Kluyveromyces lactis: one gene and its partners. The protein of the gene in region 1 binds, or shares a complex with, the protein of each later gene. Links are inferred from orthologs where the notes say so. Each region holds a gene or a part of one and is shown in the gene's direction. Other genes may lie near its edges.

The links.
Region 2: MRPL40 (region 1) and MRPL3 share a complex: the UniProt entries of both Saccharomyces cerevisiae proteins name them as parts of the mitochondrial large ribosomal subunit. The link is inferred for Kluyveromyces lactis from reciprocal best matches to the Saccharomyces cerevisiae genes MRPL40 and MRPL3.
Region 3: MRPL40 (region 1) and MRP35 share a complex: the UniProt entries of both Saccharomyces cerevisiae proteins name them as parts of the mitochondrial large ribosomal subunit. The link is inferred for Kluyveromyces lactis from reciprocal best matches to the Saccharomyces cerevisiae genes MRPL40 and MRP35.

The regions. Positions count from the first base shown.
Region 1 is NC_006039.1:831,180-843,048, reverse strand, and holds MRPL40 (mitochondrial 54S ribosomal protein uL24m), read left to right. Parts: upstream 1-6,493; coding exon 6,494-7,384; downstream 7,385-11,869. Other genes in the region: KLLA0_C09735g (uncharacterized protein), read right to left, coding at 1-1,182; phosphatidylinositol N-acetylglucosaminyltransferase SPT14, read left to right, coding at 1,597-2,937; NIP100 (Nip100p), read right to left, coding at 2,955-5,420; CDC31 (centrin), read left to right, coding at 5,689-6,192; HNT3 (DNA 5'-adenosine monophosphate hydrolase), read left to right, coding at 7,616-8,587; proteasome regulatory particle base subunit RPT4, read right to left, coding at 8,684-9,988; GCD1 (translation initiation factor eIF2B subunit gamma), read left to right, coding at 10,428-11,869. UniProt on the Saccharomyces cerevisiae protein: Component of the mitochondrial ribosome (mitoribosome), a dedicated translation machinery responsible for the synthesis of mitochondrial genome-encoded proteins, including at least some of the essential transmembrane subunits of the mitochondrial respiratory chain.
Region 2 is NC_006041.1:680,301-689,198, reverse strand, and holds MRPL3 (mitochondrial 54S ribosomal protein mL44), read left to right. Parts: upstream 1-809; coding exon 810-1,757; downstream 1,758-8,898. Other genes in the region: MSS1 (Mss1p), read right to left, coding at 1-465; KLLA0_E07613g (uncharacterized protein), read left to right, coding at 1,981-2,589; PEX12 (ubiquitin-protein ligase peroxin 12), read right to left, coding at 2,640-3,635; fructose-bisphosphate aldolase FBA1, read right to left, coding at 4,016-5,101; TRM13 (tRNA:m4X modification enzyme), read right to left, coding at 6,309-7,613. UniProt on the Saccharomyces cerevisiae protein: Component of the mitochondrial ribosome (mitoribosome), a dedicated translation machinery responsible for the synthesis of mitochondrial genome-encoded proteins, including at least some of the essential transmembrane subunits of the mitochondrial respiratory chain.
Region 3 is NC_006042.1:2,236,046-2,247,672, forward strand, and holds MRP35 (mitochondrial 54S ribosomal protein bL35m), read left to right. Parts: upstream 1-6,893; coding exon 6,894-7,181; downstream 7,182-11,627. Other genes in the region: DCP2 (decapping enzyme complex catalytic subunit), read left to right, coding at 1-1,570; NCS2 (Ncs2p), read right to left, coding at 1,677-3,068; COX23 (Cox23p), read left to right, coding at 3,375-3,743; protein channel TOM70, read left to right, coding at 4,409-6,223; NMA111 (Nma111p), read right to left, coding at 7,404-10,361; ORC6 (origin recognition complex subunit 6), read right to left, coding at 10,621-11,627. UniProt on the Saccharomyces cerevisiae protein: Component of the mitochondrial ribosome (mitoribosome), a dedicated translation machinery responsible for the synthesis of mitochondrial genome-encoded proteins, including at least some of the essential transmembrane subunits of the mitochondrial respiratory chain.

The DNA.
Region 1 (11,869 bases):
TTTTCTGCCACTAAACCAGGAGTCCTCGAATTTGATACTGGGAGAACCATCATTTAGAATTGATTTAAGTTTCAGACCCTGGTTATACGAGATAGGTATGGTTGGGATGTGCGGTACTAACTGTGACTTTTCCAATCCGATTTTCTTTGGCGAAAGAGTGCTCCAACCAGGAGACAAAGCATCACCAGTACCGTACTGAGGAATCGCTACTGAGAGTTTCTGTATGACATCACCATCATTTCCAAAGGGCTTTGATATAAAAATAATACCTTTGATACCATGTTTTTCAGCGACAAGTATCTGCTCACTAGGTAAGTTTCCATATTTCATAACGAGAACAGTATTGTCGGAAAGTAACCCGTTTTCTTTCAATGATTGGATATCAGCGACAGTCCCATAATTTGCATATATTATATCGGCATTCTGAATGTTCCCGTTACTGCTTAATGGGTTAAAATTTTCCTTTGATAAAGCAAATTCATGCACTTTATTGTCCGAAGTAGTAACGCTAAACTCAACCTCGTTTGGGAAATTCATATATCCTTGGAACGGAACCTCCTTCATTAATTTTAATCCATTATTTTTGAACGATTCTCTGATATAGTTCGTAATAGCATAATCACCTTTAGTACCAGCTAAATGAGGCATGCTGCTTAAGTATTCCATATCTTCCTCTAACTTCGCATAGTCGATGGAACGTCTCGCGTAATAGATTAATTGGTTTTTATCCGAGAACATTCCGATAGTGGCGGTGCTCTTGCTATTGGGCATCAATCCGCTCATAACCACGGTGTACACAATCACTGACATGAAAAGTATATACACAAATCTGCGGAGGATTAAAGGATTTCCCAGTTTGCTCAAATATAGATCAACCTTCGCAGAAGCCATTTGATATACCTGTACGAGAGGATCGACAACATTGTTCTTCATTGGAAATATCAAATTATCCTCAATTCTGGTCTTTAACCTTTGAAAACGACCCACTGAACTAATAGTATCTTCCTGTTCTATATCAAGTTCCATTGGAAGTATATCAGGACGCGATTCGATGTCGTATTCAGGAGGATTTGGCGGTAGTAAAGATTCATCCAGGTCAACGACATTTTCCGAAGACACATCTGGAAGACTGACATCCTCATCTTGACTGACGCCTTGGTACCGCCCTTGTGCACGAGGCATTTTTCAGGCTTTAACGAAATGCTCTATTCGCTGGCTTAACGTGGACCAACTAAATATGCTTGAAATCTCACTGCTTACTCGATAACCCCTCAAGATAATATTCGGAAGTGTATTGGAAAAGGTTACGTTTCCAAATTTCGAGGTTATTTTAAACCTTCTGTACAAAATACTCATCGAGACAACCAAAGATCGAAAAACAGTCAACAGAAAGTGGTAAAGAGTGAGGAGTGAAAGTACAGATTAAGTAACGCTAAAGTAAAGCATATTGAGAGATTTAAAACTTCAGTGCAATTATACAAATATTCTTTGTATAGTCTAACAAAAGTTGTAGCTCCAAAACGGGTTAATCTGAACGATAAATTGTTTCGATATATTAAACACTTAATTCATATCAAACACATCAATGTCTAAAGAATGGCTGAACAAAAATACAACATAGCTATGGTTTGCGATTTCTTCTACCCGCAGCTTGGGGGTGTTGAGTTCCATATATACCATTTATCTCAAAAGCTAATCAAAATGGGGCACAATGTTTGTGTTATAACTCATGCCTACGGAGATCGAACAGGAATACGATATCTATCAAACGGTTTGAAAGTTTACTATGTTCCATACTTGGTACTCTATAGACAGACCACTTTTCCAACAGTATTTGGAAGCTTTCCTATATTCAGAAATATTTTGATTAGAGAACAGATTGATGTATTACATTCGCATGGAAGTGTTTCCAGTTTTGCGCACGAAGGAATACTACACGCGAATACAATGGGGATACAGACTGTGTTTACAGACCATTCTTTATATGGATTTGATAGTCTCGGTTCAATTCTTGTCAATAAGCTACTAAAATTCACTTTATGCAACATCGATGCTGTCATTGCTGTCTCTCATACTTGTAAAGAGAATATAATACTCCGAGCAAATCTTGATCCAGATAATGTGTCAGTCATACCGAATGCGGTTGTTTCCAGCAGTTTCAAGCCTAGAGATTCAACAATAAAGAAAAAATCTAACAGAATAACAGTAGTGGTGATTTGCAGGTTGTATACCAATAAGGGAGCTGACCTTTTGACACACTTAATTCCAAAGGTTTGTACGAATAACGATAACGTCGATTTCATTGTTGCTGGAGATGGGCCAAAGTTCATTGCATTCCAACAAATGATAGAAAATAATAGGCTTCAGGAACGCGTTCAACTTTTAGGATCTGTGCGACACGAACATGTTAGAGATGTCATGTGCCAAGGGGATATATACCTGCATGCAAGTTTAACTGAAGCATTTGGAACAGTTTTGGTTGAAGCTGCGTCGTGCGGGTTACTAATAGTAACAACATCTGTCGGTGGTATACCGGAGGTCCTTCCTGAATATATGACCGTATATGCCCAGGAAACCTCGGTATCTAGTTTGATAAAGGCGATGAACAAAGCGATACATCGCATAGGACATAGCAAAGTTAATACAACACAATTTCATGAAACTATCGCACAAATGTATGACTGGATGAATGTGGCTGAAAGAACCGTCCAGGTTTATGACAGGATATCTTTAGATGTACGCTCCTTAAACAAGAATTGGGTCGTTATGCTAAAAAAGTATTATAGACAAGATGGAAATTGGGCCAGATTATTGTATGTTCTTTGCGCTATAGTGGAATATATTTTACTCTATATTTTAGAAATTCTATATCCAGCAGGTGATATTGATAGGGTTGTTAAATGGAATTCCCGCATTTGTAGAGACCCTCATATATAATGATTAATGATTAATAATTAATACTCACCTTTGAGCATTTCGTATGTATATGTCACACATAATTCATGAGTTTCTTTCAATTTTGCGAGCCTGTGCTTCCTAATGGAGGTAAACTCATTAGAGATGATAGGGTCTGCTAACTCAATGCACGTCGATAAGATATTTGCCATATTGTTGAAATCATTGAACATGTTTCTACTGGAAAACTGTTTTCGATGAGTATCAAACAATGGTATGGACAATTTGAGGCGAGATTCTTGTTCTTTTCGAAGAATAATCCTCTGTAAATCTGAGATTTCAGCGATCAATGATAATTTATCATTGTTTTCTCTAAGCGATTGGATATTGTTTAATGCCTTTGTATGAAATAAATTATTGGCGTTCTTTATTTCTTGTTCTCTATTGTTGCGATACTGCTGGTACTCCGCCTCCATGTTCACCAATTCATCCTGAAGGCTAGAGTTTCTTGATTTCACTTCTAATAGCTCATTTTTCAAGCTGGATAAGGAACCTTCCATTTCCTTATTCCTGGCATATTTCGACTCAAGAACTTCAATTTTGAGGATTAAGTCCTGGATGATTTGATCTTTTTCAGATATCGTCTGTTGGAGAACTTCAACCTGAGCTTGGGATTGTATCACATTCTTTTCAACTGAAGTGTTTCTTTCCTTGTTTTCCAACATGTCGACAGGAATTTGTTTAATTTCCTCTAAACACACTGACAACTCATTTGGTTTTTCCTGTAGGGATAGGACTGACGTTGCAAAGTGAACATAAATCGAGAATAAATTCACATCAGACTTTAAGGTTCCATTAAATTCATAAAGCTCTTCCAATTTCGTGGTGACGAAGGTGTTAATCGTATGGAAAGTGTTATACAGGCTTCTTATTCGCTGCTGATCAGATTCCTTTGACAAGTGTTCAGTATCGGACAAAAGTCTTTCCACCGACGCTTCAAGAAACATTTGAATAGCCGTAAATAGAACCCTAGGATCCGATAAAGTGATGTCTGCATTTTCTAATAGAGATAATTGAACCTTGATTGGATGACTATTTTTTACTGATTCCAATAATAAGTCCAAATTGATCTTTTCTTTCAAATATGTCACACCAGCATCATATTTAATCATCGCATAATATATGAATAAAATTAGTTGAGATGTGCATATACTCACAGCGTCTTGGCTAAGAAGTTGGTCTCTCAGGTATATGATTTTAATTTGAGAAAGTAGCTCCACTTTGTTATCCACTTTCAGATGGCTAAGCTTTGCAGAAGATACCTCGTTCTGGAATTGAAGCTCATTATTCCTTAATTGTAACGAAGTAAGTTCTGCTTGTAATTCTTCAACTTCTGGTGACATTTCTTGAGAATATTGCCCCGATTTATTTTGCAGTGATTGTAATTCATTCTTTAAGGTTTTGTTGTTTTCCTTCAATGCGTTAATTATGCTCTCGTCAGTAGAGAGAGTTTCCTGAAGTTTCGCTATTTGAGAATTTAGCTCCGATTCGACCTCTTTATAAAGTGCTTCTAGTTCTTCATCTGCCAATTGAGTTTGTTTCAACTTGAGTAACTCTGACTTAAGACAATCAAGCTCCGTACTTAATTGATGGTTTTCTGTAGTAAGAGATTCAATGATGTTATTAGAATTACTATTCGCACTGAAGTGCTGTTTCAATTCATCTAATGTTTTTGTTGTTTCAAATAGTTTACTCTCTAAGGCTGATATTGTTCGCAAATATGTCTCTGCCTGGGTTTGCAGTTCTTCATTACTATTTTTCAAACCGTTGCATTGTTTCTGTATTTCTGTTAGGTCTGATTGCAGCTTTTGTAGTGCAACCGTTAATAATCTGTTTTGCTTGATAAGGGCATCTGATTCTACTGATTCTATCTGATCAGTGTTGACATCAACGTCTGCTTTTCTTCTTATTAAAATTTCTTCTTTATAATCATTAAGCTCCTTCAAAGCACTTTCATGAGCAATGGTCAAGCTTTCTAATTCAAATATCAGTGAATCATTGCGTTGCTCTGCCTCATCTCGTCCTAAAGTTAATTTCTCCAATTGTTCCTCGAGAAATTGCACTTTTTCAAGCTCTTTTGATCTCAATCCCAGCTCCTTTTCAAACGAAATACATTTGTCATTAACTGACTTGAGTTTAACTTCCAATCTTCCAATGATCTTTTTCAATCGTTCGGGATCTGATGAGTTAGAATTCGTAGTATCAGGATCCTGAAATTGTTGCGAGTTCGGTGCAGAATTTTTATAGATACCCTCTCTTCTACTGAATATACCATACATCCGACCTTTTCTACCCTCACTGAGTTCAAAGTACCTGACTCCCTTGACGCTACCATCGTTCTTCCCTAAGGGTTCATCTAACTCAACACCGATCCAAATCCCCGCTGCAAACTGCGTCTCGCCTATAAACCGTACAGTTCCTGCCAGGCTGCGTAGCACTACCCTATCTCCTAATTCCAGATCCATTGTTTCATTTTAGAACTAAAGAGTAGTTGATCTGGCAGTACTGTAAGGTATTCATCAGTTATTGCCTTCATTTCTTTCAGGATATGTGTTTATGTTCCTTAAACTCAATATTGTCAAAATAATCATAAACATGAAATCTTTAAACATATTTTAAAGAAGTTTCACGAAGTTTACGCGTGCAGCAAAAGAGGTAAATTAAGAGGTTCGATTGACTTACAGCCAAGACTCACAACGGCAAGAAATCTAACCCAATTCGGATCATAGAAACATGAATAACAGAAGGCCCAGTGGACGAGTAGCGAAATCCGTGGATAAATCCACTTTACAAAAGGAATTATTAGAAGAACAGAAACAAGAAATATACGAGGCGTTCTCACTCTTTGATATGAACAATGATGGATATCTCGACTATCATGAATTCAAAGTCGCTCTAAGGGCATTGGGTTTTGAACTCAGTAAAGGAGACATATTAGAACTTATCGATAGGTATGATGCAGACGGACGCCGGTTAATACAATACGAGGATTTTTACCTGGTAGTAGGAGAAAAAATATTGCAAAGAGACCCATTGGATGAAATTAAACGTGCCTTCAGGCTATTCGACGATGATAACACGGGCAAGATCTCATTGAAGAATTTGAAACGTGTAGCTCACGAACTAGGTGAAAACCTTACAGACGAAGAACTACGTGCCATGATTGATGAGTTTGATCTTGACGATGACGGAGAGATCAATGAAGAAGAGTTCATTGCTATATGCACTGACAATTAGTGCTTCACGACCATTTCCATTGCCACAGCTGGAGCCCTGTGCCGCATGTATATCTCACCTTGTATATCCTATGTAACATCAAGCTATAATACTAAATCAAATGCGAAGAATCTGATAGTCTAATTCGGATCACGTGCTTTCATTTTTCCCTTCCAAAAAAATTTGTCGATGAAAAACTTGAAGGAACGGAATCAAGAAAGACATATGTATCAATATGGTACTATGGAATGAACCACAAATGGTTTATGTTCTGTGAAAAGGACGGTGGTATTCGATACTAGAATAAAATAGATCAGCGGGTATGTCTTCATATAAACATTTATCGAAGGCTGGTGCCCGTTTTTTGGAGCAAGTTCAAGCGAAGAACTCTAATATTGCGAAACAATTTGCCAAGTATGAAGGTTTGACGATGCCAGAGTTCTTGAAACCATCGTTGCCTCGTGTCGAAGAATCCGAGAAGTATAAGAGTGTAAAGCAATGGAAATATATGCCAGGTGATAGAGTGGTGATAGTAAATGGAAAGTTTAAGGGCAATGTTTGTGCCATTACGCAGCACGACGTGCATACAAACGGGTATATTTTGGATGAGAATGGACCCACCAACACTGTTCCTGTGCCCAAGCAATTTTGGCAACAGGGGCAGAACAGTCATATGGTGAGTTTCCCTGTCCCCGTGAGCCAAGCGGACATCAAACTAGTCGCTGATCTCGATGATCCAGAGACTCCAGGTGTGGCTAAGACTGTTGCTGTTCGTGACATCGAATTCAAGGGTTCGTATTATGATTCAGATTACAAGAAAATTATGCCATATAGGGTTGTTGTTGGTGAGAACAATATGGTTGTTCCATGGCCTAAGCCGGAGTTCAAGCCAGATGGTGCATTGGCTACGCGTTCTGAAATTGCACGTCAACAAACTTTCTGGGTTGAAAGCGTAGTAAAAAATCCTGTTCCAGAAGCAGCATTGTCAACCATCCGTAACCCTAAGTCGAAATACAGAAGAGGTACCTTGACAACGAAGGAAATATCAAGATTGGTGGCTCCAAAAATGCCTCTAACGGAAGCAAAGAAAAGATACATCGAACAAAGAAAAGAATTGGCAGCATTGCCAAAACGTAAATTGACTGATGAAGATCAAGAATTGATTGGTGACAAGGTCTACCAACACTTCAAGAAATCTTTCGAATTACAATAAGAATAAATAATAGTTTTGGCTAGCACTTAACTGCCATTCGTATCCACGCTACTTGTACATAGATCATAATATCATACTTCATCGCACTTTTATCTGACTTTTTTTTTTACTACATGTTTATTTTGAATGGAAATCTATACGTAAAGGTCATTACTTGTAGTAACAGACCTCAACAATTTATGATTATAGTAATGACTAAATGATTAGATAACTGTTACTAGTTCATAACAAATGGATGAGTGCGGTCCAATATATGTTATAGAATGGAAGGAAAGTCCAGGCGATCAATGGACTATCTCAGATAAATCGGGGTTTACGACTCATTTATTCAAATTAAATGAAGACGCCAACAAAGATATTGTGTACTGTAAACATTGCCGAAAGCAGTTCATCGGCAAGAACAGAGATTTAATTGGTTTCCATATGAACAAAATCCATCCACAAATCACAACTGGAATGACTTATAATCAGTATCTGCAGATTTTCAAACCCACTTATGTACCAAACGCCCATGGTGACGAGAAAAACAGGGAGAACTCGTTCAGCATAGGTCTCAGACCGTACGTTTTGTGTCCAGAACGATTGCCTGAAGTACTCTACTTTGACGACATAGCGACCATTATACATGATAAGTTCCCTAAATCTGAAGAACATTTTTTAGTTTTGCCAAGAAGTCATAAGATCAGCAATTCTCATCCCACCACAATCGACAATGGCATCAAGGTGCAGCTTCAATGGCATATTGATTGGGCTAAACGATTCTGTTGGACTCAATTCATAAAAAAATATGACATAAAAGATATATCCTTGAAAGAGAAAGAAGCTTTCTTGGCGAATTTTGTCCAATCAGGAGTACATAGCACTCCATCAATGGCTAATACACATATACATGTCATGACAAGAGATTTCCATAGTAAGAAATTAAAGCACAAAAAGCATTTCAACTCTTTCAACTCCCCGTTCTTTATACCATGGGATGAACTACCTGTGTTGGACTTGCCTGGTGACAAGGAGCTATCCGAAAGGTATATCAAGAACTTTGAGATGATATGCCCCTATTGTTCCACTAACTTCAAGAATCGGTTTGCAAAGCTTAAGGAGCATCTAGCAGATGAGTTTAATATGCGTTTCGTGTCAAAAAAAGGTTTAATAACTGCAGATAGGGCTATTTCATCGTTTAATAGATTTACTAATGATTCATAATTACGGCAACAATTTTAGCGCTTATACTATAGTGGTTGGTTTTTAATCTTAAAATTATGAATCTACTTGAGATGCCTAAACAAGTGTGTATATTCATTACAACTTTTGATATTCAAGCTTGCCTTCGAGCTTCTTGACTTCGGCAACCTTTCTCACGGCTTTCATTAGATCTTCCTGGTTTATATAATCGCGGTCGTCCCTGATAGCGAAGAACCCTGCTTCAGTTATACAGTTACGGATATCCGCACCGTTAAATCCATCACTCATCTTGACTGCAGCTTCAAAGTCAAATTCTCCAGCTTTTTTTACATTGGATGTATGAATCTTGAAGATTTCTAATCTTCCTGCCTCATTTGGTAAACTGATTTCGATTTTTCTGTCCAATCTACCAGGTCTTAGTAAAGCAGGATCTAAAGTGTCAGGTCTATTCGTAGCCATAATAACTTTCGTTTGTCCTAAGTTGTCGAAACCATCCATCTGAGTTAATAGTTCCATCAATGTACGTTGAATTTCACGATCTGCTGAGGTACCTTCGCTAAATCTACGTCCACCGATAGCATCTATTTCGTCCATAAAGATGATACAAGGTTCATGTTCTTTGGCGTATGCAAACATTTCTCTAATGATACGTGCTGATTCACCGATGTATTTATCTACAATACCGGATGCTGGGGAGAAGATAAAGTTGGCACCGATAGTTGCAGCAACTGCCTTAGCCAATAAAGTCTTACCAGTACCAGGAGGACCATATAGTAACACACCCTTAGGTGGTTTGATTCCCACTCTCTCGAAAATTTCTGGGTTCTTTAGTGGAAGCTCAATGACTTCTCTCAATTCTCTGATCTGTTCCGTAAGACCACCGATACCATCAAAAGAGATTTCACCTTGTTCAAAAGTGGTCATATTATAAACTAATGGGTCAGTTTCTCTAGGTAAAATTCTCATAATAGTTAATGTAGTAATATCAAGTGTGACTCTGACACCCTTCTTTAGCTTGGAACGATCAACGGAGTTCCTCACACCCACAATATAACGAGGACCTGATGACGCTTTTACAATGTATTTTTCCTCGGAAAGTTCCTTCATAACTTCCCCAATGAGTTGGCCAATCGACTGTAACGCCTTGATATCCTGTTCTGTTCTCTCATATTCTGCTTCTAGTACCCGTATGGTTTCTCTGCGTTGCTTCAACATATCGTCGTATCGTCTGTGTTCCATAAGTCTTTTCTTAAAATGTAACATCGCTTTTTCCTTTGCAGCCTGTTCTGGATCCACAGGCTCCACCGTTTCAGGTGCGGCAGCGTTATTTTCTCCCGAATTAGAGTTGGTACCAGCTCCGTTAGTGTCATCACCATCGTTTTCTTCCATTGCTGCTAGTAAAGGATCCTGTTCTTGAGACATCTTTAGTATTTATTCTGATCAGACTAGCTTAATCTTCCTATTCCTGCTTCTCAATATGAAAGGAGAAAAATCCCGTACCTTTATTCTGTCAGTATTCCTTCCTGGTTGGACTAGTACTGTTATAATGGATTGACTCAACTCAATTGGTTGGATTTGGCCTTTCTTACCTATTCTCTTCATTTGGACTATGGGTTACTAGATTGAATGGTGGCAAAAGCATTCGGAATCTACTAAATAGAAAGGGAGATCATTACGCACGATTTTGAAATTTTCAGGAATAAAGCTTTTCAATATAAGATGGAGTATTGACTAACCTAAGCATCACGTAGGATGATGACCTGCCACGGTACAGTTTGAAGATATATAGTGGGTTCTACGTTTTATTGATGCGTTGATCTCCAGATAAGACAGTTTAATATTCCCAGAATAGTACAGAACAATGGATTTTCAAGCTTTTATATTCTGTGGACGTGGTGCGAAGCTAACACCGTTTTCCAATGTTCGTGGAGACACTGGTGTTCCCAAAGCTCTATTGCCGGTTGCAAACCGCTCCATGATTGAGTTCGTACTAGATTGGTGTGAGCAAGCCCAATTTAAAGAGGTCAATCTAGTTATTGACGCATCCGATGCTGACGAATTAGAGGAAAGTTTGAAAAAATACCGTGAAGTGAGAGGGCATTATTTTGGACTGTTATCCCAAAGCGTTGGATCGAACCATGCTCACTATTTGAAAAAACCATCTCCTATTAATATTATACCCTCAAAATGTGAGAATACAGGAGAATGTCTGAAGAATGAATTGCTAGATAAGATAACTGGAGATTTCGTGTTGTTACCTTGTGATTTCATCACAGACATTCCACCACAGGTGTTTTTAGATCAGTATTTGAATAAAGATCCGGAGAATCTAGCTATGGCAGTATATTATCACAATGGGTTTGAGAATATCGATAAGAAGCATTTAAAGCAATTCCTGACTGTATACTCCGAGAATTTGGAGTCTGTTAGTAAGCCCGTTCTTCTAGACGTTTATTCCAAAGACGATGTGGACAAAACGAAATATTTACAAATCAGATCCCAAATGCTTTGGAGATATCCGAACTCCTCTGTATCCACAAAATTACTGAACTCCTTCATTTACTTTTGCTCTCATGAGTTAGTAAACCTATTGAAGGATGAAACCGAGAAAGGTGCTGGAGAATTAGACTCTGATTCGGAAGCCGTTGATTCTTTGGCCACATCATTCCAGAACACGTCTTTCTTGAAGGGAAAGAAGAAATTAATCAAAGATCCAATAAACTGTAATAAATCGCTAGGCAAGCTATTCAGGGATTTGTCTAGGCGTTCGTGGCAGCATGTGAAACCCAGAGAAACTATAGGTATCTTCGTGTTACCTGAAATCGGATTATTTATCAGATCAAACAGTTTGAGTGCATACATGGAATCCAATAGGTACGTTTTGAAGATTAAACAAACGGCGATTCAACAACGCACTACTGATGGTTCTTCTGCTATCGGTGCAGATTCTATGGTTGGTAACAATTGTGCAATTTTGGAGAAAACCAATATTAAACGTTCGGTCCTCGGTGACAATTGTAAAGTAGGAAAGCGATGCCGTATCGTTGGGTGTGTTGTGCTTGATAATGTTGAAATTGATGATGAAACCCAGCTAGAAAATGTCATCATCGGTAGAAATGCAAAAATCGGCAAGAAATCAAAGCTTACAAATTGTTATGTTGAGGGCTCTTATATTGTCAATGAAAAATCCACTCTCAAGGGTGAAACTTTGACAAGTATTTACATAGATGACGAAGATTACGCATCCTCTTTACTGGATTCAGATTCATCTGGATCCGAGTCTGATTACACTGATGAATATTA
Region 2 (8,898 bases), on another chromosome or scaffold:
GAAAGCTCGTCGACTGAATTCTCCCGGCATCGCCATACGAATATCTCTTTCAGAGTCCCGCAAACCCTGGATTGAGTTTAACGCTGCCTTTATAATAGCTTTCCCCCCATGTAGATGCAATTCCACTAAATCTTCACCTGTAAAGGTCCGTGGTTGTGGGAAGTACAAGACTAACGCTTCATCTATCAGAGTTGATGCCTTGGGATCATATAATGACCGAATCATCGGTTTCCTCTGCCGTAGCGGTTTTTTTGGCGACAATTTTTTTAAGATATACTTTGAATGTGTACCCGATATCCTAATTATAGCTATTGCAGAGTGCTGATTTGATGGCGTTGATAATGCATACACTGTAGGATGGAAAAATGTCGCTGGAACACTATAAAACCGTCGCAACATTGGGCTGAACATCACTTTTTGCGAAAAATTGAACCAAATGAGAGTGGGATCCTTGTAGACTACCATTACGATTCCAACTGCAATTTATGGTAGTTTAGAATAGTCTGTAAATATGTTTAGCTACCGATTCATCGACAATCCATAGCATAAGTGCGCCGTATCAGAAAGAATCTGGAATAATGAGATGTCTGTGAAAACATATTATTATCACGTGACTACTCGGAAAACATCAACAGTCTACTATATCCGGGTAATTGCAGATCTCAGTATCGAAATATTGAAAAAAAATTTTAGTGAAAGAGTTACAGAGAGAGGATGGAAAGAAGTTGAGTGATGCAGTGAGCTATTGGTGAGGTTTGCCATTGATATATACAGCAATCAACATCACCATCGAGGGGGGTTAAAGAAGGATGTCTGTTTTGAAGCTATTGAACCCTGTGCGAGTGCGAGGATTTGCTTCTTGTGCCAGGTTGTACCAATCAGAACTGTCATCATTGAAAGAATATAAGAATACCATCAGTACACTGTTAAAGAACCCTGCACATGAACTAACAAGCCCCAATTTAGTTGCACTCCATTCCAGATTAAGATTGCCTCAAGGCTTATCCTATTCTCTTTTGTCCAGATGTTTGACGTGTCGTTCTAGTGGGGAAGTGAACTATGACAATGTCAGTTTGAACATTTTTGGTAAGAGTCTTTTAACTTTGGCAGTTACATCCGAGCTAATGAAAAAATATCCTAGGCTACCGGGTGTGGTTTTGAATGCTGCTGTGGATGCATATATTAACGACCATGTTTTGAGCAATGTCGGTCGTTCCTGGGGTATAGAACCGGAAACTCAAAGTGTAGTGGATAGATATGCAAAGAAAGAAAATGTTACCATTACATTGGGTAAACTACGTTATTTCCAAAATTCCGTAGATGAATTGCATAACTTCACTGAGAACAATGCTATGGCAGTTGCCGTAAGGAGTATATTCGCCGCTGTATACAGTGTCGACAAAGATTTCAACCAGACACATAAGTTTATCGCAGATCATATTTTGTCCAGAAAGCTGGACGTTAAAGATTTGTTCGCGTTCGAACAACCAACCAGAGAACTGGCAGCTTTGTGCCGTCGCCAAGGATTGGAAAGACCGGTATCGAAACTACTTGCAGAAAACGGTAGATTGTCTAAATCACCCTTGTTCATCGTTGGCGTTTTCAGTGGTGAAGAGAAATTAGGCGAGGGTTACGGTTCATCTTTGAAAGAAGCTAAAGCCAGAGCCGCTACAGACGCTTTGTTGAAATGGTACTGTTACGAACCAGTGCATGGCCAACAGAATGTCGTTATTGACCAAGGCGAAGTGTTAGTATAGACAGGCCGCATCAGCAATGTATGTTTTCCACATAATCCTTTTCAGTTGAGATCAACTTTTAAAGATTTCTTTCCCTGTAAATATAATATACAAATACATAATAGTAATTCATACACTGTTGTACTCGAACGAAATAAAAAAGGAGGTTGTACGAAACTTAGTTGTGTCTTGAGGCCTTGCCTTATTTATAGCTAGATCCTGTTCTGCATTATTTGATCAAGATATGGATTTGAAGGAGGAAGTTCTGCTGCAAGTTAATTCGACGATCATTGAAAGTAAAGGAGGTCCGTTACTATTTATCCTTGTATTGGAAAATGAAATAGCATCACAGTGTTTTCTGTGTGATGGAGTTGGAAACGTTGATACGAAGCTCAGCCTTTTCAGCTGGAAATCCTCTGATCCAATTGGAATCCTAATGGTTGACCCGGACATTTACGATTACGATGACATGTTACAGTCGTTGAATTCGAAACAATACATTATTAAATCCAAGTTCCATTACTTCCCTGAAACTAGCAATTTGATACAATGGCATGAGAGTGTACGATATCCTTATAAGCTAATCAACTGTGGAGTAGAAATTCAGGATGATCATTCCGATTTAAAACTATTAAAACGTGATTTAAAAGATCATTTGGATAGGATGATTCAATATCTTGAAGATAATGATAGACCAAGCGATGAAATCTTGAAAGAAATTTGGTTATTAAAGCTAAGATACAGTAGAACATCGGCTCCAGACTTAGATTCAGAAATCTCTAGGCTGGAATCTGATATAATGATGATGCAAACGATGTTCAATCAAATGGAAACCAATGCAGAATTATTCTAATGCTACTGGCTCAATTATTCTCATTATTCATTTACTAAATTAATGCAAAACTATATTAATAACTTACGGATGCGTTTATCTATGGGCACACCAGTCGCGAAACATGTATTTTCTGTGCTTACCCATTTCTTGGCACACTCTAAATTAGCGACATATCCAGATGAAATCATGGCAGGTTCTGTTATTTCTTCGCCGCATAGGGGACATACGTCAGTCGTATCATTGTTATCCACCTCTGATGCTACGCCAGGTAGTACTGGAGGTTTTGGTCTCTTTACTCGTATCTCTTTCTTGAATAATTCAGGCCGCTGATTGATAATTTGTAAAATTCTGATCATCACTAGGAAGCTCGGGAATAACTTGTCCAAGAACATGGTCGATGTGCTCTCCACTGCATCCTTGGTCATAGCTAATATTCTGGGTAAATTAGTTCTTTTACGACGACGTTCAGAAAGAGTTAAAGTATTTTTCCTACTTGCAATTCCTTCTTCGGGTTCTTGGTATCGTTGGTATCTTATTTGTGTTATGAAATGGATCATATCAGTGTCTTTTGAATGACGCAAGTACTTTAATTTGAAACAGAAATTTATCACTTTGATAGTCTTCTGTAGCTTAGGATAATAGGCATCAAACCATTGTTGCCATGAGCTCAATTCTGGGCTCGTCAATTTTCTGGACTGCAAGAGCTCATGGTATTGTTCACAGATATCACTAACGTATTCGAATAAACAGTCATTCAACCAAATTCCTAGAAAGGTTAATTTAGGGAATCTAGAAAACCTTTTCAATCCATAGAACTTGTCAAGAATTGTGGCACCTGTTGTTTTATAATGTCTGTATTCAACCAAAGATTTAATCACCAAGATTATGAAGTCAAATTTATTAAAAATCTTCAACAGCCATCGTGTTGGTCCTCTATATTGGAGATAAATGGAGAAAATATACCTTAAAGTTGGTTTGATTAACTTCTTCACTTCATTGACAGAGAGTATTTCGAATAAAGTCGGTTGTTGTAAATTCACCGGGAGATTGGAGTAAAAATCCATCGCTTTGAGTCCTCCCTGTTTCTTGTATTTGTTTCTGGAGTTGTAATTGTGTTAAGGGACTATGAACGTGACTTTGTTTGATTGTAACTGTTCCTATGTTTTTTAACTCTGCTTTCATATTTAAGCCAAACTGGACTATGAGACAAAGTCGATCACGTGAGAGAAAAAGACAAATGCAGTTCGATAACAGGTAAGTCCTCGGTAGCGTCCAAGGATAACACTGGTGAACGTATCCGATGCACAGCGGATCCCTGCCAATCATTTTGTAACTAATGGTTCAGATGTCTTCATTTGATCATTTCATGCGTTCTGGTATTTAAATTGTATATAGAAAATTATAAGTTAAATTGTTTGGGATAATGGTACTAAACAAAAGAACTTTATTCCAAAGCACCCTTAGTACGGAAGATTTCCAAAGCTTGAGTGATTCTCTTGCTCATGGTCTTTTCACCTTCTCTAACCCAGACTCTTGGGTCGTAGTACTTCTTGTTTGGAGAGTCTTCACCGGTTGGGTTACCGACTGGGGTCATCAAGTAGTCCTTCTTGTTCAAGACGTAGTCTCTGATACCGGACAAGTAAGCGAATTGACAGTCAGTATCCAAGTTGACCTTTACGACACCGAAATCGATGGCAGTATGGAAGTCCTTGGTGGAGGAACCGGAACCACCGTGGAAGACCAAGTACAATGGCTTGTCTTCTGCCTTCTTGTTTAATTGCTTAGCAGCGTAGTCTTGGAAAGTACCCAACAATTCTGGTTTTAGGGCAGCGGCGATCTTGTAAACACCGTGGACGTTACCGAAGGCACTGGCAATGGAGAAGTTTGGAGAGATCTTGGACAAAGCTTCGTGGACAGAGAAAACAGTTTCTGGAGTGGTGTAAAGTTTGTCGTTAGAAGTACCTTCGTTGTTGACACCATCTTCTTCACCACCGGTGATACCGATTTCCATTTCCAACCATTGGTGGATCTTGGCCATTCTGGTGAAGTATTTGACACATAGACCAATGTTTTCCTCATCAGTTTCTTCGGACAAATCCAACATGTGGGAGGAGAACAATGGTTCACCGTGCTTAGCGAAGTATTCTTCGTCAGCCTTTAGCATACCATCGAACCATGGTAGCAACTTCTTAGCACAATGATCGGTGTGTAGAACAACTGGGATACCGTAAGCTGGAGCAATGGATCTGATGTAGTGAGCAGCAGCGATAGAACCTCTGATAGAAGCATTTTGGCCTTCGTTGGAAACACCCTTACCAGCAAAGTAAGCAGCACCACCGTTGGAAGTTTGCAAAATGATTGGAGATTTGTTGTCTCTAGCAGCTTCCAAAGCAGCAACAACAGTGGAAGAAGAGGTCACGTTGATAGCTGGAATGGCAAACTTGTGTTCCTTAGCGTAGTCGAACAAAGCCTTGACATCGTCACCGACAATGACACCGGTCTTTCTGGTCAATACGTCTTGAGCTGGCATTGTAATTTCTTTTACGTGTTGTGGGTTTTTTGGTTTAATTCGTATTAAGTTTAAATTATAAAGTACTTCAAAATTAAGGTTTAATTTTTGGTACTATTGGTTATAAGTCAAACGAAACTTGGATTGGTTTTTGGATGATGGTTTTGTATACACAAGATATAATTGAATATAAACAACTACTGATAGATATTAAAACGAATTATCAAGATTTGGGAAGTATGCAATTCATTGTTCTTATTATATATGAATTGAATGGAGGAAAAATTCACGAACAACCTTTTTTTCCATATTATGATACTGATCAATTTAGAAGAAGATAGACGGAAGAAGATAATTATCCAGACAGAACATCACTCAGAAAAGAGGGATAAAGATGATGATATGAAGAGAGCTTGCGACAGGTGTTCCAACTGCCACTGCACTATCTAGGCAATCAGGCCGGGCAAAACTGCCAATTTCTAGAAACACGTATGTTGGTTGGTGTGATTATACATCGCTCAATTGCATCGCAAAGTGGGTTTTGAGAATATCATGTGGCAGTTATTGCTAGTCTTTGTCAGTTGCGTTGAGTAGATCAGCTTATTGCACGTTCTCACTGCGACTAAGGCGAAACTTTTTTGTAAGAACACAGAACACCAACTGCCTGTACGTGAACACATTCTGGTAGCTTCTTGTTTAATGCCAGTGTGTTTTTCAAGAAGTCGGGCGTCCAGTAATTAAGGTTCCAGCTGCGGATTTTGTTTGGCTTTCTTTTTCTTTTTTTTTTTTTTGTTCAGTTCTCTGTCAGGCCACCTCTCACGTGAAATAGGGCTTCCACTTTTAATGGAGGAAGCTGAAATTTTTGGGGAACGGAAGAAATCCGTGCAGTTTTGTTTGGTAACTCCCACTGTTGGAGTGGTTGTTCCGATTATAATGGTCGGAGAGGGAAAACCGTCTCAAATTCCGGGACAAATTTTGTCCCGGCGGTGTCATCATCTTGTTGTTACCCTTATTGCAATGGGCAACCGTTACTGTACATGTGACCTTTGTTTCCATCTAGGGTATTGTTAAGAAGCTCGTAGCACGGGAAAACAATTCAAACTCTCAGTGCATTTGCATTTATTAGTACCACATTTTGTTCTCTGCATCCTGCATCATTATGCTGCCAGAAGATACACTTTTTTACGTAAGATATGTACAGGTAGGTTAAGCGGAGGGTCCTCCTGGTTTAATCATGCTTCCTCAATGCCAATAGCGCAGTGTCCTCCAAAGTGACAGCGCTGTCTGTGTACTTGAACAAAACTGTTTCGAAGCCTTTTGATTGTAGAAACTGGGCTCTTCCTTCATCTATGATCCTCCTTGCCATGTGTCCAATGCGTTGCCTCTCGTTGTGCGTCAATTTCGTTATATGGTCCTCCGAACCACTGTTGGGGTCCATATCTGGTCTCAATCCGCACGTACAATAGGAACAGAATTTCTTTAAGCATTGGAAGAATTCCGAATACGCCATCGAACCATCGGTCTGTCTTTTCAGTAAACCTTTGATATACTCTTGATTCACATACTCAGAAGATTGACATACGTGTCTACAACACATTGCAATAAGTATTCCTCTAAGGTTTGCCTTGCATTTATCGCTGTTCAAAAGGCATCTTAGCGATAAATCTGTGGCCACACCGCATAGATGTTTTGAGATAGCCACGTATTGAGATGCATCGTGGAGTACTGCATCCAATCTAAGATCCTTAATATCGATCTTCTCACGTCTGATTTGAACTTCGGTTCCGATGTCAGAACTGAACTTATTATCAAAACGTAACCTTTGAGAGGCTCTGTCAATGAGGGTGAAGGAGGGTGCGACGGCTTTGTACTCTGGCTTTTCATGAGAATGCTCCTTTTGGTCCAGATTTGTAGCGATATTAACGTACCTTGAAAATTCAGCTCTCCCACAACCAAGTTCAATGTATTCCAGTGTCTTGTTCACTGCACATGATTCTAAACTTGGCCATAGTTTGGACTCTTTAAGATGTTGAATCAACGATGATTGTTGTCTTGCATGTTTCCTATTAACCAAAGTCTTGTACCGTTCCGTACGTTCCAAGAGTTCGTTTTGTTTCTCGATTAATGGCAACGGAGGTTCGTCACCAAATTCATTTTGAAATATCTTCTGAATCAAACTCACTGACTTAACTAGTGTCTCATCTGCCGGCTTACTGTCTGACTTCCCGTTACTGATGGAATTAAGTCCTTCTTTAAACCATGGAATTTCGCGCTGTTTTGCTTGATATGAAACATCATGTCTAAATTTATTGCATTTCCTCATATGCACACGCATCTTACTCAAGCACACAGTATGAGAAGGGTCCAATGGACAAGGAACTCTGTCGCTATCAGTAGAGTGTTCTGAACAGAACTGGGAACCAGCTCGTCTTGTCATTCCGCACTGTCGCTTCTTTTTCACGAGAAAAAACTCACATTGCAGTCTTTCAGCGGTTGACTGTCCGGTATTTCCTGATACTGTAACAGCCATCATTATGTTTCAATTATGGCTTATAGAAAAGACGCCATGATTACAATCACAAACCATTTGATTTCACCTCATCTCGTATCTCATCTCGAGATGATGATTTCACAAATCTCTTGTTGTAAAAAAAAAAAAAAATAAAATAAAACTAACAATCGAAGAGCCAAGTGGTTTGGTGGAGTTCGTAAGCCATGATATTTTAAGGTCACATGCTCATGATCAGCGGTTCTGTTGCCTAATCTGGTCGCTGCAGTCAACCCACCTTTCTGCCCACTCTTCATTGATCACGTTTTTCTGTCATCTTTGAATGACCTGACACAAGAATATTTTCGGTAAAAAGAAACGGCAGAAAAGAATCTTGCTGACAAAATCCTGCGTATGTTTAACAGTCTTATTGGCGTTTGCGTGACCGAATCAACCGCCGTTCTCACTTACATCCTATGGTATACATTATGAAACTAAACGGAACACCATTCAATGTCTATCTCCCCCAATTCCTTGCGTTTGTTCGGATCTAAGCTTGGGACAGCGGGCATACAACCAACAGCGCTGTTGTTGTATTTTTTTTGCTTACTCCTTCTTTTCTCCTGATTCCACAACCGCATGAGCCATTATTAAAGCCTCACGGAAAAACTGATCACATCATCGTCTACAGCAATATCTGAGGATTGTTGATTTATTCTAATGATTTTGTTCTTGTTGTAACCCCTTATTCTCAGGGTAACGCGCCTGTATGGACAGATAACGGAACAAAAATGGTCTTAAGGTCCTGCGCCTGCGTCACAGTCATTAATCGGGTTTACTGTAACTCCATCTGTTTTCGATAATTCTGTGCCTGGTAACTAACAAACACCACTTTCGGTTATCATCAGTTTCAACAGTTTCACTATGACAATTACCCACTTTTCTAGGTATTTCCCCTTTGACGCCAGTAGATCACAAAAGTAATTCCTTTCACTGAGCCGTTTTCTTAAGAACTTGAGCCAAAAAAAAAAAAAACAAAAAAAAAAAACATTTTTTTTCAATGTTCTCTACTCAATAGAAAATCCGTTTTGTAGTGCAACTGCTTTTATTCTGTGTACAGTTCTATCTGGCCTGGAAACAGGGTATTATTTACAATTAAGTAGGCATCATCACTTACACAAAATGGATGATCAAAGAACAAGCCTTAGTAACAATACAGGTACGTTTCTAGTATTCTTGTCTAAGCAATTCATGATGGTACTTCTGAGTTGTGGATTTCCAGAATTATTTCGTTTGATTTCGTATTATTATACTGTTTATCTTTCGGTTT
Region 3 (11,627 bases), on another chromosome or scaffold:
TCAACATCAAGCCAGAAACGAGACATATGTTGCGGAAAACCCTGTGGTTGATGTGAATCAAGCTCGTAGCTTGTTTCCACTTATGTCCGTCCAATCTGTTTCTCACTTTTCTTCCAGTAATAACACCAATAATAACATTGTCAATGGTACCGGTATGACGATAAATACCACTGGAAATAATAAATTGGACCACGAAAAATCGTATTCTACGGAACAAAATACTGATTTACAAGCCTCTAGCAAAGAACTACTGGCATTTTTACACAAAAGTTCTACTGTCAATGACAAGGAAAGACAAATTTCAGGCAGTGATAGCGTTTCGTCATTCCCATCTGCTCATTTCACGGAGTTCACTGATGATGAAAACTACGAGGAATTCGAAAGTTCATCTGACGAAAGTCAATACGAAAGCTCTCAAGAACAACTTGGTCATTCTGACACGGAATGGGACCCCAACAGAGATGATGAGTTATTAACAGTGAAAGAACCCAAAAGTGTGAAAGAAACACAACCTTCAAAACCTGTCAAACCTGAAACAAAGCAAGGTGCCACAAACAATCAAAAACCTATACTTTTGAAACGTCCGGAATCTCAAAATAAGGCTAATAATATTGAATCTCAAACCGTGAAGCCAAAAATCAGATTATTGAGGCGTGGTGACACATTGGCATCAGCCACACAGTCTCCCTCCAATGAATCTATTAAAGCAGTCTCTGAGAAACGAAACGATACAGAAACCACTTCAAACAAAAATGCAGCCAACGACTTATTGTCAATCTTGAAGAAGCCATCAGAGGACCAACCAAAGATAAACGATTCAGAGACACATTCAAACAGAAGTGTAGCCAATGATTTATTGTCCATATTGAAGAAACCATCGAGATCAGAAGTACCAGGCGCCGCTTCGTCTCCTTTATTCACTAATACCTTTGAGAATAGTCAAAGTAGTAGTTCGAACGCTTCAGTGGAACATCATACTTCTTCCAATAACGACCGTAATGGTTCTAATTTTTCAAAGCAGTTTACTGCCTCACCTGCACTAAACGAACCATCTCCTAAAAATGATGCAAGCGACTTAATGCAACTACTGAAAAGACCACAACAGAACAGTGAACCTCAAAGTCCAATATCAGACCTTTCTCCAGCAAGCAAACCCTCAAATGAATTGCTTAATATATTGAAGAATCCCAAGACCGGCCTAAACTCGCAAATATCGGACGATCCTGTGACACACAACACCCAATACAATAGGATGCCTCCTCTGCAAGTACAGCCTCAACAGCCTTTCCAAATGCAGCAAATGCAGCAAATGATGCCACCTCCAGGTTATCCTCCCCAAAATATGTCATATATTCCCCAAGGCTTCTCTCCTCAGCAGCAATTCCAATATCAGCAACCGATTAATGGATATCCTATGCAACCTCAGCCACTTAACATGGGACAACCTGCACCAAACCAAGGTTTTACTAAACAGCAAGAACTTTTGAATATATTACACAAGCCAAATGCTCCTGTTCAAGAAACTCCTTCCAACCCTTCATCTGAATTATTGAGTATCTTGAAAAGATGAGACATTACAGCATTTCGCAATTTCACTTACATATATTTATATATGAGACTTTTCATCTAAGGAATATTTTGATAGTTCAGCTGTATAATTGAAAGAGCTAAATCTATTATTGTTCAGAATCATCTGATGGGATTTCATACTCTTGAAGAACCGCTGTTAGTTCTGCTTTATCATCTCTTCGTATCCACTCTAACTTTCTATCTTTCATGCCAGTTAGAGTGGTAATACAACCGTAACACACGCCTACATTCTTGGCAGGAGTATCACTCATTTTGTTTAGTTTTTCGGCTTTGTCTGGATTAGCTGCCTCCCAGGCATTGTAGTTGGTCAGTTCTTCCTCATTATGAATCACAAATGGCTTGCTAACTGTGATACCGTCAAGCCAATTTACTGGATTCTTATAAATAATGGCATTGCAAATACTACAGTGCATGATTTGATTTAGTTCATTATCAGGGTTAGATAATTTTGCACCTGTTCTAACAACTGTAGATATCACGTTTGAGTAATCACCTTCAATGTTATCAAAATACTGTCTCGCGAGTTCATTCATCGTCATATTTTTGATAAGTTTGACATTTTTGGTAGGCTTGTCCACAAATTTGTCATAAAACAAAGTGTCCTGGACAACATAATTATGAGAGAATTGCGAAAGCCCTTTTATATGACAGTAAGCATCAATTTCTGACAGTAAAACGTCCCGGCCTGGATGAAAGTTTCTGAAGGCGGTATTATATTTACTATCGAGGGAAGAATCATCAAGATAACCTGCGATTTCTGCACCACGTCCTTTAACAGTCAGACTAATGACTTCATCAGCTAACTTTGTCATCGAGTGACCCCATAAGATGGCTTTGAAATTTCTTTGTAAGGCAAATTTCTTAATCAAATGGGTATAAATAATGTTCAAAAGATCTTCTTTCGCTGTTTTGTTAGGCGCGCTGGCAAGCACTTTCTCTACAGTAGTACTTGGATTATTTGATGATCTTACCAGAGTGTTGAAGTTATCAATGTACAGTGTAATTTCTTGCAGATCAAACGGCACGGCAAAGAATTGATTTCTGTCAACAATATGGAACAGAATCTTATCGGAGTTTTCTTTATATTTTGATTTCAGAAGTTCAATCTTACCGCGCACTTCTTCAAACTCTGCCTGTCCACAAATCGTGATTACTTCTACGTGAAATCCAGTTTTTCCCCGGTGTGTTTGTTTCTGCTCCAACAAAGTATCGTTCAAGATATCTAAAACTGCCAAAGAAGAGGATCCCAAAGAAAGCGGCACGAGAACATTGGAATCTTGATTTTGCTTATCAGCTTCTGCCTGACCACGTTTCTTATCTGGATATGAGATTTTGAATATATCTTGGAAGTAGTCATCAGACATCATCTGCTTCCTCTGTTTCAAAGAAATAAATTTCACGAAACATTCATCACAAAATGGTTCTTTTCTCGAGACTAGAGTTGCATCCAGCAGCTTACACCTTTTACAAATGACCATGATAGTTGGACGCAGCGATAAGGTTTGCAAGCACGTATTAACAGGCTTTTATTTGATTCAGTGACTAGTTACTATTAAGAGATGAGATGAGATGAGATTGATTTTCTTTTTTTTTTTTTTTTATTTTCATTTCACTGTGGTTGTTAACATGAAATTTCAATCTAGAAATTTTGGAGTTCTGAAAACCATAGTAAAATATTGAAATGTTAAAATGAATCCAGATGAACTAGTAGCAGATGAGTTACTGGTAAAGGGGAAAATAAAAAAAAGGCTCAAGCTAGCAACTTACTGCCTTACTAACAACAAATGACCGATAAACAAGAAACAACACAACCAGCTGAAAAGCTGCAACAGCCTGAAAAGGTGGCAGAGAACGTCGACCCCAGTCTCGAACTCAATAAGACTAAGGTCAATTTTACACCGGAAAAGACTGATGTCAACACCTACAAGTTCTATCCTGATGATCCAGAATCTACGTTGAACAGATACAGATTTGCAGTGAAAGGTGCTTCTGAATACTACGACCCATGCCAGGAATCATCTAAAATGTCTTTCAAGTGCCTTGAATTAAACAACTACGACAGAGACCTATGCCATGACTATTTCGACGCTTACAGAGAGTGTAAAAAGCAGTGGTTGAAGGCCAGAAGAGAGAAAAGAGAATTTTGGGAATAATTCAACCACATCTGCATGTAAATAGCGTACTTAATGAGAAGTAACTTTCTAATCAATAGCATGAATTATTTATTGATAATGAGCATGATCCTCCATTCCCATATTGAACGACATAAGCTAACAAACGGAACCTGAATAAACAAAAAAAGAAAATAATAACACAAGTTGAAAGTACAGATCACGTGACATAAAGGAATTGATATTACCCGTCTTTCCGAATATTCTCCATTGCTCCTAACTATTGGAATCCGACTCGCGCTCCCTCCAAAACATGGTTTCGGACCCCACATGTAAAGATTTCGACCCAAAAAATATTCCAGATCCCAAACCGAAAAAAAAAAAAATGCAGCTTCCCATTCCGATCAAACACAAATACGGATTATTACGAGCAGCATCAGAGATTCCCATAGGTAAGAAGTTTCCGTAATCGAAAAAAAAAGTAGAAAAGTGCAAAATTAATTATGATATATAAAAAGTTTTGTAAACATTGAGCTATTGTATGGAACAGGACGAACGAAAGCCTCAGGAAATAACACTCAGTAGTAAGCATCAATAGGATCTAGCAGATTTTCATTGATTGAGATATAGGATTTAGTGAAAGAAATTTAGAATCATATCAAGACGCTTTATTTTGGTTTGTTGAATACTGAAAGGAAAAAAGGAAAATGTCGGATAATTCTGTGAGTTCATTTGTGACTCGTAACAAGACCGCCATCTTGGCAACTGCTGCTGCCGGTGGTGCTGCTATTGGTGCTTATTATTATTATAACCAATTGCAGAGGGCAGAATTGGGTTCTGGTTCCAGTGGTAGTAAGAAGACTTCCAAGAGTGAAAAGAAGAAGAGGGCCGGGAAGAAGAAGAAGGATTCGTCTTCTTCATCAAACGGTTCTGATGTCGTTTATCCAGTAGACGCTAACGGTCAACCAGATTTGTCTAAGAAGGATGAGTTTACTCCAGAACAAGTTGACAAATATGCTTTGGCGTTGAAGGACAAGGGTAATGAATTCTTTAAGGCCAAGGATTTCGAAAAGGCTATTGAATATTATACCTTAGCTATTTCATTGAAAGAGGATCCAGTGTTTTACTCCAACAGATCTGCTGCATACGTCTCAATTAACAATTTCGAAAAAGTTGTTGAAGATACCACTGCCGCTTTGAAATTGAAGCCTGATTACTCCAAATGTTGGTTGAGAAGAGCTAGTGCTTATGAAAACTTGGGCCAATTCTCCGATGCTATGTTTGACTTGTCGGCTGTCTCTTTGTTGGGTGAATACAGCGGTCAATCCGTGGAGCAACTGCTGGAAAGAAACATGAACAAACAAGCCACAAAGGTCTTGGGTGAAAAATTGAAGGAGAACCAGGGTAAAGAATCTCCATTACCATCTAACACCTCTTTGGCATCATTCTTCGGTATCTTCAACCCTGAAACTTCTTTCGATGATTACGATGGCGAAAATGAAGCAGATGTTGAGTTGAAAAAAGGTTTGGAAAACTTGTACAAATGTCAAACCGGATGTTACGAATTGGCTGATGAAGAATTCACCAAGGCTGCCGAGTTATACAAGAAAGAATTAGAATCTTCTCCAGATAATGAATCTTTGAAGAAGAAGGCTGCCATCGCCTTCGAACATGTGGGTATTTTCAAGTTCTTCAAAAATGATCCAATTACCGCGCATATTAACCTGGAAGAATCGTTGTCTTTGAACCCAAGACCTTCTACTTACATCTACATGGCTTTGATTATGGCTGACAAGGGTGAAGCCAACCAATACAAGGAATACTTTGACAAAGCTTTAGAATTAGATCCAAACTGCTCTGCTGTTTACTATCATCGCGGTCAAATGCATTTTGTTGTTGAAAACTTCAAAGAAGCTGGTGCCGATTTCGATAAGGCTAAGGAATTAAATCCAGAAAACATTTTTGCCTACATCCAATGTGCTTGCTTGGCTTTCCGTGACGATAGATTTGATGATTGTGAAACTTTGTTCAGCGAAGCCAGAAGAAAGTTCCCAACTGCTCCAGAAGTTCCAAACTTTTATGCCGAAATTTTGGCTGCTAAGAACTCTCTAGATGCTGCCATCAAGCAATACGATATTGCCATCAAGTTGGAAGATGCTTTACCAGGTATTCACGTCGGTATTGCTCCAATGATTGGTAAGGCCACTGCTTTGATTAGAAACCCAACCGTTGAAAACTTCGTTGAAGCTTCCGAATTATTTGAAGAAGCTTGTAAGATCGATCCAAGATCCGAACAAGCCAAGATCGGTCTTGCTCAACTAAAATTGCAACAAGAAGAAATTGATGATGCCATTCAATTGTTCGAAGATGCTGCCGATCTCTCAAGATCTTTCGATGAAAAACTACAAGCTACTACTTTCGCTGAGGCTACCAAGGTCCAGAAAAAGATCAGAGCTGATCCATTCATTAAGGGTAAGATCGACGAAGCTATTGCAGCCTACCGTGCTCAAGGTCTCGCGTAAATTAGCATGATATTCACGAATGAATTTAATTCATTTCAATATGAGTAAAGCTACAATAGCTCATTGTTTTTGTCTCACCTTAATGACCATAATGGCAACATACCATGCAACATCTAAACGAATGAATTACCAAGAAAGTTATGATTTTACAAACAAAAAGTTGTAGCATTTCACCCAAGTTATTTATGACTCGTAAGCAGCGTGAACTGTGTTAATCGTAAACGACAAGATCTCAACATTACAACGTGAAGAATAAGAAATAGTTATCAATTCTTCACAAAAACAAGACAAAAAGAAACACAGAAGAACAAGAATACGAGAACAACGCTTTTCAATAACAGCTCATTGCAAAATATGTGCTCCTAAATACCCCTGGTTCAAAAACATCATCTTCTACCATTTTGCTAGAAACAAATACGTCTTTCTGTATATACATGTATCTCCCCCATCTCACAATTTAATCAAATTGTAATTTTAAACACTTCGATAGTATATCACTACATACGTTTCAACATAAATGACATTTTTTGTTTTCTCTGAAAGAAGTGTATGTAATAAAAGTTTCTTGTGAGATTATGGCAAGGTACTGAGTGAAAGTGAGCTACAATTCAAGTACTTCATTGTTAACGGACTATAGCAGGATTTACCCCACCAGCGAACTACTTCAAATATGCTATCTTCTATCTTTGGTTCGATGATGAACTTTTCCGCTAGAACTGGACTTCTGGGATCTAAAACTAATGTTTCATCGCTCATCCTCACCAGAAACTTGATGAAAACACACAAAGGTGCCGCAAAAAGATGGAGAAAAACAGCCAATAGCTTCAAGAGGGGCAAGGCTGGAAGAAATCATGGTAATGCTGGATGGAGTAGGAACTCCCTTAAATCATTATCTGGCAGGTCATTAGCAGACTCCACACATATGCATCGTTTAAAGAGATTGCTTCCATACCATTAAGAGATGAAAGGCAATTAAAATAAGATATCGTTTCGATTTCAATCCTGTACATATAACAATGGCATCCCCATAATGAATGACACACCATTTCTTACCATGATTTTCAGTAAAGCATGTCATGAAAAATCAGCGGGTTACTATAATGGATAATTATCATTAATAAATACCTATATACAATTTGCAAACAACGGTAAAAAATGATTAATCATATATATAGTCAAATTAAGTCTCCGAGATATCATTCTCGATCCAACTACCTGTTTTTGGATTCTTTCTTAATTCTACCGTTGGGAAGTAGTGATAGTTTGTCTTTAAGGAAATGGCAAACGGAACATCGTCAAATGTCATTAAGCGTAACTTGCAGTATGTATTATCTGGGATTTCTTTAACAACCTTCAAGAATGTATCCAAATCAGGTGTTGATTGGTCATTGACGTGTGTGATAAAGTTGGTCACTTCTATTCCGTACTGTAACGCCAAAGAAGATGTACCACGAGAAACCGCATATACTTCACTAGGAATAGACGTTTTTACTTGACGCACGGCATGATGAGGAGCTTGTAGTACGCAACCTGCGAATACGACAATTCTAGTGGTTTCTTCAATTTGTACAGTTTTTATTTTCAAATCGATAACCTTCGCATCTCTTACAACCTTGAATAACAACTCAGATTCGATATCCGTATCGTCATCAGTCCCCACGACACCACCAATATCCCTCATTCTTTTTACCAGTTTCCCATTAACTGATAAGATAATATCACCAGGCTCGAGCCTTTCCTTTATTGTTGTATAGGAGTTTCTGGTGACACTGATGAATTGTAATCTGTTTTCTGATTCTTCTTCCATCATCTTAATCCATTCTTCAGGAACACCTCTGATTCTAGCCTGCAATAATGAGATGGAATCAAATCCTGCGTCCACAATAGAAACCTTAGGATTCTTACCAGCCCTGAGAATATCTACAACTTCTTTGATATCCACTACGTCTAAACCCATTAAATACAGTTTTTCCTTGTTACCCATGCAGGATAACCAGATTGCTCTCACTGTACCATCATCTGCCGCTAATATTCCTGATTTACATTTGGTGCTTATATTCGAATCAATGGAGATGACTTCTAGATTGGTTGCTCTATACCTAGGAATGATGTCGTTAGGAACACTCAGAGAAGAGATGCCATTGACTTTAGTCTTGGAACTGATTAAAGTGTTTGAGTACATGTAACCAATGAAATTAGTTTCGTCTCCTCTTTCAAGCCTTTCATTAGCTAGCACTGGTGTGCATACTGGGGCGTCAACTAAAGATGGATCATATTGAACAATAGCGTAATTTTGGGTAGGATGTAAGAATACAACTTTAGCAGGTACAAGAATGGATTCAGCGAACGAGACAAACGTGTTCAAACAGTCATGAGGAACAAAACTACGTGAAACAATAACATATCCCTTCTCAGCATCGAGTACTAAACCACATCCGTTTGTGGGTTCGGGTTCCATGGAGTCCATGGTGATAGCAATAACCGAATGTACAACACATAGACTATGTGACATTTTTGCAAGTTTTTTATTATCATTAATCGGTAGATCTAAAATCTTAGCTTTCTGTGGTTTTATTGGAAGTGGTGGTAATTTCTCAGTGATCTTTTCATAATCCCAAATACCTGTTTTGTCATTTCTAGTATAGATTCGGAACTCACTGCACCAATGACGGTCAATATAAACACTGGTTATTCTTTGTGTTTGAACATCTGTCAAGTTATGGAATTTCACGATTACTCTTTTTTCGTCAGGAATTGTTTTCATGACTTCTATAAAGTCGTCTAGAGTTGGTGTTTCTTTATTATCTACAAAATCAATAACCCATCCAGTTTTCTCCTTTGGATCCAAATCGAACGATCCAGTGGCACTTGCCACGAAAACGCCTTTTACAGGTAACGCATAGCATCTAGCCATTTGGTACGAAAGCTCATGGAAATTAGCACCACACACCTCGACATAACGTGAAGGAGTAATAATATGCAGGTCACCAACAGTGCATCTGAAGGAAATATCTTTGGAACCCCTTTGAACCACAATGATTATCTCATCTCCTACACTGCTATCTAGAATGTTATCAACTTGAATAAATGAACATATTGGTGTGCCATTAATAGAAATTAATGTGTCACCCTCTTGAACTTTATTATAAGCTGGTCCCTCTCTGAGAATAGCCTCAGCCACCAGCAAACCAGTTTTACCCGGGAACCTCTTACGAGCTTCCTTCTCACGATCTTCACTTAATCCAAGTCTTCTACATTCATCGAATGGTTTCAATACCCACTGAGTTTGGATAGTACCTCTGGTGATTGGTTTATCCGTTTGTACGCATTGTAGAGCTCTGACGACTCGATCAAGAGGCAAAAAGAAATCTGTAGAAGCCTCCGAAGAGCCACCGGCCTGTAAAGCGACCGCATACCCCTCTACAGTAATAACTGGAGAACCAGAAGAACCACCTGATGCAGCAGCAGCAGCTTGAATATATTCAGTATTAAAATCATTATACGTTAGCTCACCATAGTCTGGTGCATTTCTGTCAAGTCTACTGATGAACCCTGACAAGATACTCAATTTTTCACCAGCATCGTTACCAACAACACGGATTTCAGAACCAACCTTGGCCAAAGATGGTTTCAACTCTAGTGCAGTGACCTCGATATATTTCAACTTCGATGGATCAAACTTCAAGAACCCAAAATCATGAACTGGGTCGCGATAGATAGGGATGACATCACACTCTTCGTGATTGTCGAAAATGGCGTATCCGATGAATGGACCTGGACCCACAACGTGTCTGTTTGTTAAGATGATACCGAGTTTTGCATCAACAATGAAACCTGTTGCTTCCGACACCAAGGCAGCTTCTGAATCGAAAGGTGCGACTTGCGAGAAATGAATTGAGACCACCGACTTAACAACTTTGGAGATAGTTTCTTGCCATTTAGCGTTGTTATTGAATAAAGAGTTGCCTGAATCTATAGGTACATCGTTCACTTCATCATAGTCTTCTTCATAATCAATATCTTCGTCTACACTACTTGTGTTCTGATCGACGTCATTGTCGACCCTCTGTTTCTTGGATTCAAGATCAATGTCTTCAACAGATGATTCGAGTAGGTTTCGCTTCAACTCAACAGTCATTTCACCAGTTACTCGGTACGTACTTCGCAGTTGATTATTCGAAGAGTAATCCGATCTCCAGAGTTCTGACAGACGGTAATGTCTCTCTTCAATTCATCTCATCTGCGCTCTCTATGTTTAGTTATCTTCTTTTTTTTCATCTTGCCGTTCCCTTCGGTAAACGTCAACGTGAAAAATTCATTAGAAAGGTAATGAAAACGTATTGAATGATAAATGCGAAGATGGGGACGGTGAGAAGAAAGGTATCGGAGGAAACCATTCATGTGCCATCTCTTAGACTGAGGTCGACCATAATTCTTCGTTTCCAGTTTGAGTATTGCTCTTCTGATACGACTTCATATTCGTCTTGTAACATGCTGCCTATTCTGACGGCGATAGCGTTATCGAAATCCGATCCATCGTAATAATCGAACTTGACACGGAGTTCTCGGTACCATTTCTCACCGTCTATTAGTTCTTTTGTGATCTTGATAGCTTCCATGATATCTTCATCATTTGTTGTTCTCATTTGTGCCGCCATCTTCTTCATTAGCTTGTTATCGATTGTACTGTCCTGATTTCTCTGTTGGTTGAAGACAACGAACGAGCAAAGAAGTACCAGACCACAAACCAACTGTGTAGGATACGCTAGGTAAGTAGCGTTGTTATTGAATTCGGAAATTATGGTAGCTGTTACTTCTTCAGGAAGTTCAAATTCATTGCACAGAGTCACCAGTTCAGCGGTAGACGGTCTATAGTATTTTTTGTATAGCATGTTCCATTCGTTATACTTACCTCTTTTCTTTCTTGGTGAAGGCGTGTATTTAGAAGGGGAGTCACGAAAGGGTGACTGTCTTAATGGAGATTCAGGATCATCCTCAACTGATCCAAACACTTGTGGTATATTGATCATATCAGTCTTATTCTTCGGGGTTGCTAATATGGGCAACGGAAGGCCATTTTCTGTATCAGCTTCAAACACTAATTTCCTCCGGACACTTGACCTACTCCCTTTGCTAGGTGAAAGATCAACATTCTTCAAGGGCTGGATACCACTTTTAGTTCTTGATTTCGACGGAGTCTGGAATAGCTGTTCTTGTAACGACTTCGGATCTATCCCTGTGAATCTTGCATTTTTAACCGCTGACTTTCTAACCGATGGTGATGCAGTATCATCAAACTTCAGCAATTGTCCTTCGGTATCCTTTTGCGGCGAATGAGGCCATATGTTTCTCTTAAATATATTCACAAGTTTGGATACTTGGTCTGGTGGAAGCGGGATCTTCT